2 linked regions of the Xenopus tropicalis genome follow. The protein of the gene in region 2 interacts with the protein of the main gene of each other region in a pairwise test. Links are inferred from orthologs where the notes say so. Each region holds a gene or a part of one and is shown on either strand. Other genes may lie near its edges. The genes, in order: rack1 and mkrn2.

Region 1 (4,416 bases), on a different chromosome or scaffold from region 2:
GAAATAAGAAAAGTCATTTAGAATACAACTATAGGCTACTGGAATCCAAGGATGTGTACACAGAAAAAAAAGATTAAATGCACTATGTACATATCCACAGATGTTAAACTATGGAGAGAAAGATTTCATATAGTAAACAACCTGTACCATATGGTATTCTTAAAAAGGTGCAAGAGGATACTGGCCATGACTTGGTAGGGTAGTTTGGCCAATTTTGACCATATGGGCCTACTTTGTGTGCCTATATAGCCAATACAAAAGGATGGGGGGGGGGGGGGGGGGAAGATAAATAATTCCATGATTCTGGTAGATCAAGGATCAGCAGTCCTCATGGCCAATTTCCAGTCAGCCAGAAGGGAAGCAGCAACTCTGCAATTTGTCTAATTTGTTCAGTGTCGACACTGAATAGAAAAAAAAGCCACACATGTACTGCCACTACAATATTCATTCATCACTCAAATGCTGTGTCTGGTAGGCCCATGTATGGGGGCTGAAAGCAGAGCTGCAAGATTAACTACAGAAGTAGGGCATAATTATTTTTACATTATGTGTTTTGCGCTTTTGTAACAGCCCTAGGAAATCATAGCCCTTTAGAAGTAATGTGCCCCAGTAGCTTCCCATCTTTTCTGATGATTCACTGCACATGTTCTGTTCTGTTCTGTTTCCCGAGCTTAGAACTATTGACAGGCTAGAAAATTTGCGACAACCCCTAGACTTAGCATCTCAACTGCACACTGAGCACGAGTGTCACCGACACTAATAAAATCCAAGATGGGGAGTTCCCGTGACAACTGCAGAAGACCTGAACATTCAGTATATAAAAGTGGGCATCTCTAGCCACTTATTTTCAGGGCTTAGTTCTTAGTACTTGTTTAAGAGGGGTCAGTAGTGCACTATTTAAAGGGGGAGTGAAAACGCTTTAAAGCTGCTTAACACTTTACTTACCAAACAAGTATGCATTTAAAAAAAAAAAAAAAAAAAAAAAAAAAACTCTGAACCCGTATTAAGACTGGAGGCATCCAAAATACTCACCTTCACCATCTTGTCCCAGCCGCAGGATACAATGATGGGATTACTGCTGTTAGGGGAGAACCGGACACAGGACACCCATTCAGTATGTGATTCCTCCTAAGAAAGACAGCTTCATTAGTAAACAGCCTGCCAAAAGACCTAGAATGACTGTTTATTTGGTCCCTTCATAATTGCAGGAGTGTCATCCTGAAATTAGTGTGCCTATATTAGACACTCAGAATACAATTGTTCTAATCACGTGGACCAACAGAACTAAAATATAGTTATAACGCTCATACATACCTGCACAGTGTATTTACAAACGCCTAAAGTGTTCCACAGCTTGATTGTTTTGTCACGGGATCCAGACACAATTTGCCGGTTGTCAGCAGAGAAAGCGACACTCAGGACATCTTTGGTGTGTCCTACAAACCGGCGTGTGGTGGTGCCACTGCAGAGGGATATTTGACACGATGACAAAATGACAGTATCCATTCCCCTCAGAACACTCCTTTCTGTGCCACCCTGCAGGGGGAGGGACAGATTCATAGCTTCCCTCTACCTAGGTTACTATTTAACTGGTCCTTTGTCATATGCTTCCCCTGCAGGGATATTCTGGTCTGACAGTAAGTGGACTCAAATGATTCTTAATGCTAAAGTTAGTCCAGTCATTCCTTCTATCCAAGTAATAAGTCAAATTCTGTAGTACTGAAACCATGTCTAATTCCCTGCTGCTGATCAGTAACTTTTGCTGAACATTCTGAAAAGCAGCCATTTAACAGGCCAGGTAATGGAACAAGGATAAGTGTACTCACGTTGTAAGATCCCACAGTCTGAGTGTTCCATCCCAGGATCCTGAGAGAGCGAACTGCCCATCTGAAGAGATAACCACATCACTGACAAAGTGGGAGTGACCCCGGAGAGCACGTTGTGGAACCCCATAGTTTGTTTCATCACGAGTCAGCTTCCACATGATGACAGTCTTATCTGTGCAGAGAGGAAAAAAAAAAAAAAAAAAAAGTCAAAGGACATAAGAACACTATTGCTGATTTAAATAAGTGGTAACCTCAACTTCTATGCAGTAAACCTCCAACAAGGCAGTTCCACACAGGGGTAACCCTCCCAAAATAAACCATGCCATCACAGCGAAGCCATGCCATACCTTGTCATTGGTCTACGGTGTCTCATTTTATGTCTGTAAGCAGGTGAAGATGTTTTTCCTTTGCACAACCCAAACTGCCAGAAGAATGAGGTTATCTAGTATGCAAGAAAAATGAAGACATGAGATGTGCAAAGAAAAAACACTTCCACCACTGCTCATACAACTCTATGGCATTGTCAGCCTGCAAATTCTTCAGTACCAAGGGCTAAGGAACAAAGTTCTAGCAAACAATAGCTGCCACTATACATCATATATCGCTCACACCATAATTAAAAGGTAAGTTAGCCCGCAAAATCTACCACCATCTTTCCCTTGCTAATCAAAACGACAGATAAAGAAAAGCTTCATTATAGTTAGGACTTCCAATGACGCATAATGAATGAGGAGCCATTTTAGCCCCGATACAGTAACATATCACACAGCGACACTAAGTAGTTACAGCAATCACATTTACCAGGGCTGAAAAAAGCAACGTGTAAGCATTCATGCTCTTGTTCTAACGATAAACGGGGTCCCGGATACCGCAATGCATATAAACTTGCGTGGATCGATAGGCTACAGTAGGCGTCTCATGCATCTCACCTCTGGAAGAGCTGAGAATCATGTCCGGGAATTGTGGGGTAGTCGCGATTTGCGTGACCCAGCCATTATGGCCCTTTAGGGTCCCCCGAAGTGTCATTTGCTCAGTCATGGCTGCGATGAGTCCGAAACCGCTCCACCGGCAAAGGATGGAGACAGATGGTAGACACCGGGCCTAAAGCGACCGAAGAGAGGCTGAACTAGGCCTCGCCTCGCCTTTTATACAAAGCGGCGTCCTGACGTAAGCGCGCTGCGCCGCCTTGCGTCAGGACGCCTTTACCCGGATGCATTACTTGTTTACATCACCAGAAACGAGTTTCAACATGGCAGCGAGTTGCAGAATGTCGTACAGTGCAACTTAGGCTAAAAAATCGCGCTACTTTAAAATCTTTTAAAACAAGACAAAAAAAGAAAATATGAATGACAACGTGAATTCCAAGCATAGGTATAAGCGCTAGAACAGAATTGGCTATTAAATCAACTGGTGACTACTTTCCCTGTCAAATAGAGAAATCGCGGGGATAGGCTGACCGTACGCAGGCTAGTTTGCGTTCTGATTGTAGCACACGTGAGAGGGTTCCCATGCTTATATGACTGTGTGCTGGCGCCATATTGGTTGTGGAATGTTAGCTGCCGTAAGTGTGGAACACGCACATCTTGGATATATTGTTGTTTAAAACGTAACTATCATGAGGATACTGGGCGGCAGGCATAAGTAGTTTTTTTTTGTCATAAACAGGAAATAAAACATTAGAAACATTAAAAGTGCTTCAAAACATGCTTTACATGTATTATATTAGTCAGTGCCCCACTGGGTCTCTTTCACCACTGGGGAATCTCCTTTATAGAGTTATCTCTGTTTGTAGGGGTACCTTTTGGCATTATAGTCCACACCTTGCGCCCTGCTCCTTACTCCCCCACCTGAACTAGGGCAGGGACACTGCAGTATCTCCTGCACTGAACAATTTCCTTATAAAAAAAAAAAAATTCTGCTCTTTAAGCCACACGCAGCCTATGGCAAAGTTCTCACTATTTTTGATTGAACCAAACTGTAAACTGGGATTGAAACCACCATTAAAGGAGAACTATAGCCCCCAACAATGTAGGTCTCTACAAAAATATATTGCATAAGCAAGCTCATACGTAAAACCCTGCTTCATCTAAATAAACCATTTTCATAAAAATAGACATTTTTAGTAGTTTGTGCTATTGCGTAATCATAAATAGAAAATTGCCATTTTAAGAATTAAGGGCCACCCCCTGGGATCATAGGATTCACAGTGCACACAAACAAGCCAAGGCACACATACATGCTAGGCCCCATCAGCCAATGAATAGACAGGGTTCTGTCTTTAACTCCCACACTACTTCCTGTTACGGTTAGAGCTGGGCAATATTTACTGATATATATATATATTCCATTTTGGTGAGATTACTAGGTCACTTAAAATTATATAAACTATCTGTTGGTTAAGTATTCATTCTGGGGGTATAGTAGGGCGGCCCATGCTGCACATTACTAATTGTAACATACCTCTTAAATTTCAAGACAATGTAAAATCTAAAATGAAAAAAATGCCTTTGTTGGGCAATCACCAGGAATTCCAGGAAAAGATAAACTCTGGAGATGTTAAATTGGAGTTGTAGGGTAATATTTAAACATT
Region 2 (3,315 bases):
CAAGAGAGGGGGAATGAGTGATACATTGGGGGTGGGGAGGAAAGGGGATCTCACCATCAGCATAGGAAGGGGCTCCTTACTGTAAGGGCAGTCAGGTTATGGGATTCCCTACCAAGAGAGGGGGAATGAGTGATACATTGGGGGTGGGGAGGAAAGGGGATCTCACCATCAGCATAGGAAGGGGTTCCTTACTGTAAGGGCAGTCAGGTTATGGGATTCCTTACCAAGAGAGGGGGAATGAGTGATACATTGGGGGTGGGGAGGAAAGGGGATCTCACCATCAGCATAGGAAGGGGTTCCTTACTGTAAGGGCAGTCAGGTTATGGGGTTCCCTACCCAGAGAGGGGGAATGAGTGATACATTGGGGGTGGGGAGGAAAGGAGATCTCACCATCAGCATAGGAAGGGGTTCCTTACTGTAAGGGCAGTCAGGTTATGGGGTTCCCTACCCAGAGAGGGGGAATGAGTGATACATTGGGGGTGGGGAGGAAAGGGGATCTTTATAAAGAGAAATGGGGATCCTCAATCTAGTGTTTGAGTATAATAGCCCCCACCCCAGGGCAGTAACATTAAGATCCAATGCAGATCACATGACACTTCCCATGAGGCAGTGGGCCCCAGAGCTGACATGAAGGCAAGGGTAAGGCAGAAGGGTGGGTACCAGTGTTGGCCCATACGGTTGCAGCTGAGACTGAATGTGGGGGGGGGGAGAACCAATGTATTTGCAGTAGGACAGAGGGTGAGGGACCCCCCCCCACCTCATGGGGCCCCTCTGTACAGACAGACAGAACAAGAGACAGTCCCAGACATCAGGTTTATTGTTGTGCAAACGGGTCACTAATGATTCCGGCCGGGGGGGCTCAGTTAGAGGCTGCGGGGGGTTCCTCACCGACTCCGGACAGGTGCATAAAGAGCTCCCCCAGTTCCGCCACCTCATCCTCTGCATCAGGGAGGTTCCGCTGCTCCCGCTCCTCAATGAAGTCCCACAGCCGCACCGAATTGAGAAACTGCAAGGAGGCAACAGGATGTCTTATGGATGGCTCCTCCCCCAGGCAGCTAATGCTATACACAGGGTAACCCCACCCCCTCCCCAGGCAGCCAATGCTATACACAGGGTAACCCCACCCCCCAGCCAATGCTATATACAGGGTAACCCCACCCCCCAACCAATGCTATATACAGGGTAACCCCACCCCCCAGCCAATGCTATACACAGGGTAACCCCACCCCCTCCCCAGGCAGCCAATGCTATACACAGGGTAACCCCACCCCCTCCCCAGGCAGCCAATGCTATACACAGGGTAACCCCACCCCCTCCCCAGGCAGCCAATGCTATACCCCCCACAGGAAGGTTCGGTACCCCCACACAGCGCCTCTTACCCTCACGGTGCCTTCGGACCCAAGCTGCTTCCGTGGTTTCTCAGGTTCTGCCCTCGTCCCATCAGGGTAGGCGTGTAAGTAAAGGCATTTGCCCCCAAATGGGCACGTTCCCCGCCCCTGATCAAAGTATTTACAGGCTTTTTTCCTGGAACAGAAGGGATGGGGGGTCCTCCGGTTATTCCTATACAATGTGAGGGGGGGGGTTCTCTGGGACCTGAGCCTCATTCAATGACCCCCCAGCACTATGGCAGCACCAAGACACTGCTGCAGGAGGGGAGGGGCGGGGGGAATGTGTGCCAAGTCAGTGTGGCGATAGGGTGGGCTGAATACTGGGGGTCAGCCTGGCACAGCTGGGGGGGCATCAGCCCCCAGAGACACAGGAAGGCCCTAAATACCACAGAGGGGCAGAGTGGGCACAATGTGTGTTTGTGGGGGGGCCACTCACCCCATTCCCTGCTTAAAGGCCTCAATCAGCTCAAACTTCTTGCTTTGGTCTTCGACCCAATAGGCGCTGGGGATGACGAACTCGGAGATGACGCGGCACTCTGGGCACGACCTGCAATACAGGAGTCAGTGAGCCGGGCACGGGGGGGGGGCACACCCCTCCTACCCCCCCAACCTGAGGGCCCACAGGCTCCACCCCCTTCTCCGGGTCAGGATTTGCCCCTGTGCCCCACACAGTGCCAGCTCTCCTCCTGCTGATTTAAAGGGGAACTGTCACTGTGAGAGAGAAATCACATTTAACCCTTTGTGTACCCCTCATTCCCAGGATTCTGAGAAGCTTCTCTAACGGAGCTGTGCCCTCACTGGGTGCCAGTGGAGCACCAGCCCCCCCCCCCCCGGGTCAGAATTAGCCCCGTGCCCCACACAGTGCCAGCTCTCCTCCTGCTGATTTAAAGGGGAACTGTCACTGTGAGAGAGAAATCACATTTAACCCTTTGTGTACCCCTCATTCCCAGGATTCTGAGAAGCTTCTCTAACGGAGCTGTGCCCTCACTGGGTGCCAGTGGAGCACCAGCCCCCCCCGGTCAGAATTTGCCCCGTGCCCCACACAGTGCCAGCTCTCCTCCTGCTGATTTAAAGGGGAACTGTCACTGTGAGAGAGAAATCACATTTAACCCTTTGTGTACCCCTCATTTCCAGGATTCTGAGAAGCTTCTCTAACGAAGCTGTGCCCTCACTGGGTGCCAGTGGAGCACCAGCCCCCCCCCCCCCCCCCGGGTCAGAATTAGCCCCGTGCCCCACACAGTGCCAGCTCTCCTGCTGTTGATTTAAAGGGGAACTGTCACTGTGAGAGAGAAATCACATTTAACCCTTTGTGTACCCTTTCATTCCCAGGATTCTGAGGAGCCTCTCTAACTGACCCCTGCCCTCACTGGGTGCCAGTGGAGCACCAGCCCCCCAGCCGTGGCCACACCTACCTACCTACCTGTGAGGGCAGCACTCACTTGATGACAGGATTCTCGAACTGGCGGGCACATCTCCACTGGCGGATACATGCCAGGCAGTAGGTGTGGTGGCAGTTGGAGAGGATGCCGAAGCGCCGCTCGGAGGGCGACTGTTTGTCGTAGACGCGCTCCATGCAGATGCTGCACACCTTGCCCTCACTGGCCTGGAAGGCAAACGCTCTCTCCATGTCCCGCTCGAAGTTGGCCATGCACAGCTGGCGGGAGAGAGGCAGATGAGGCACCCGTGCCAACCCCAACCCCCCCCCCCCCCCCGTGCCCCACAACAAACCGCCACTCACCTTCTCGTGGTGCCCCCTCTGCTCCTGGTCGTACGGATGCAGGACCTGGAGGCCGCAGATCTCGCACACGTTGCCATGGATATAGGGGCAGCTCTCGCCATAGTGACAGCCACCGGCCTGGGCAAAAGGGCACAACTGCTGGGGGGCATCAGGATAGGCGCTGGGGATTGGGGTCTCATCCAGTCCGGT

The links.
Region 1: the proteins of mkrn2 (region 2) and rack1 interact in binary tests that used the Homo sapiens proteins (3 or more experiments, as listed by UniProt). The two-hybrid records come from large-scale screens. The link is inferred for Xenopus tropicalis from reciprocal best matches to the Homo sapiens genes MKRN2 and RACK1.

The regions. Positions count from the first base shown.
Region 1 is NC_030684.2:71,557,473-71,561,888, forward strand, and holds the start of rack1 (receptor of activated protein C kinase 1), read right to left. Parts: upstream 2,934-4,416; 5' UTR 2,865-2,933; coding exon 2,756-2,864; exon of another isoform or gene 2,628-2,755; intron 2,269-2,627; exon of another isoform or gene 2,174-2,268; intron 1,999-2,173; coding exon 1,827-1,998; intron 1,463-1,826; coding exon 1,315-1,462; intron 1,129-1,314; coding exon 1,033-1,128; intron 1-1,032. UniProt on the Homo sapiens protein: Scaffolding protein involved in the recruitment, assembly and/or regulation of a variety of signaling molecules. Interacts with a wide variety of proteins and plays a role in many cellular processes.
Region 2 is NC_030680.2:153,474,576-153,477,890, forward strand, and holds the end of mkrn2 (probable E3 ubiquitin-protein ligase makorin-2), read right to left. Parts: coding exon 3,127-3,315; intron 3,043-3,126; coding exon 2,828-3,042; intron 1,936-2,827; coding exon 1,825-1,935; intron 1,525-1,824; coding exon 1,380-1,524; intron 1,007-1,379; coding exon 860-1,006; 3' UTR 800-859; downstream 1-799. UniProt on the Homo sapiens protein: E3 ubiquitin ligase catalyzing the covalent attachment of ubiquitin moieties onto substrate proteins.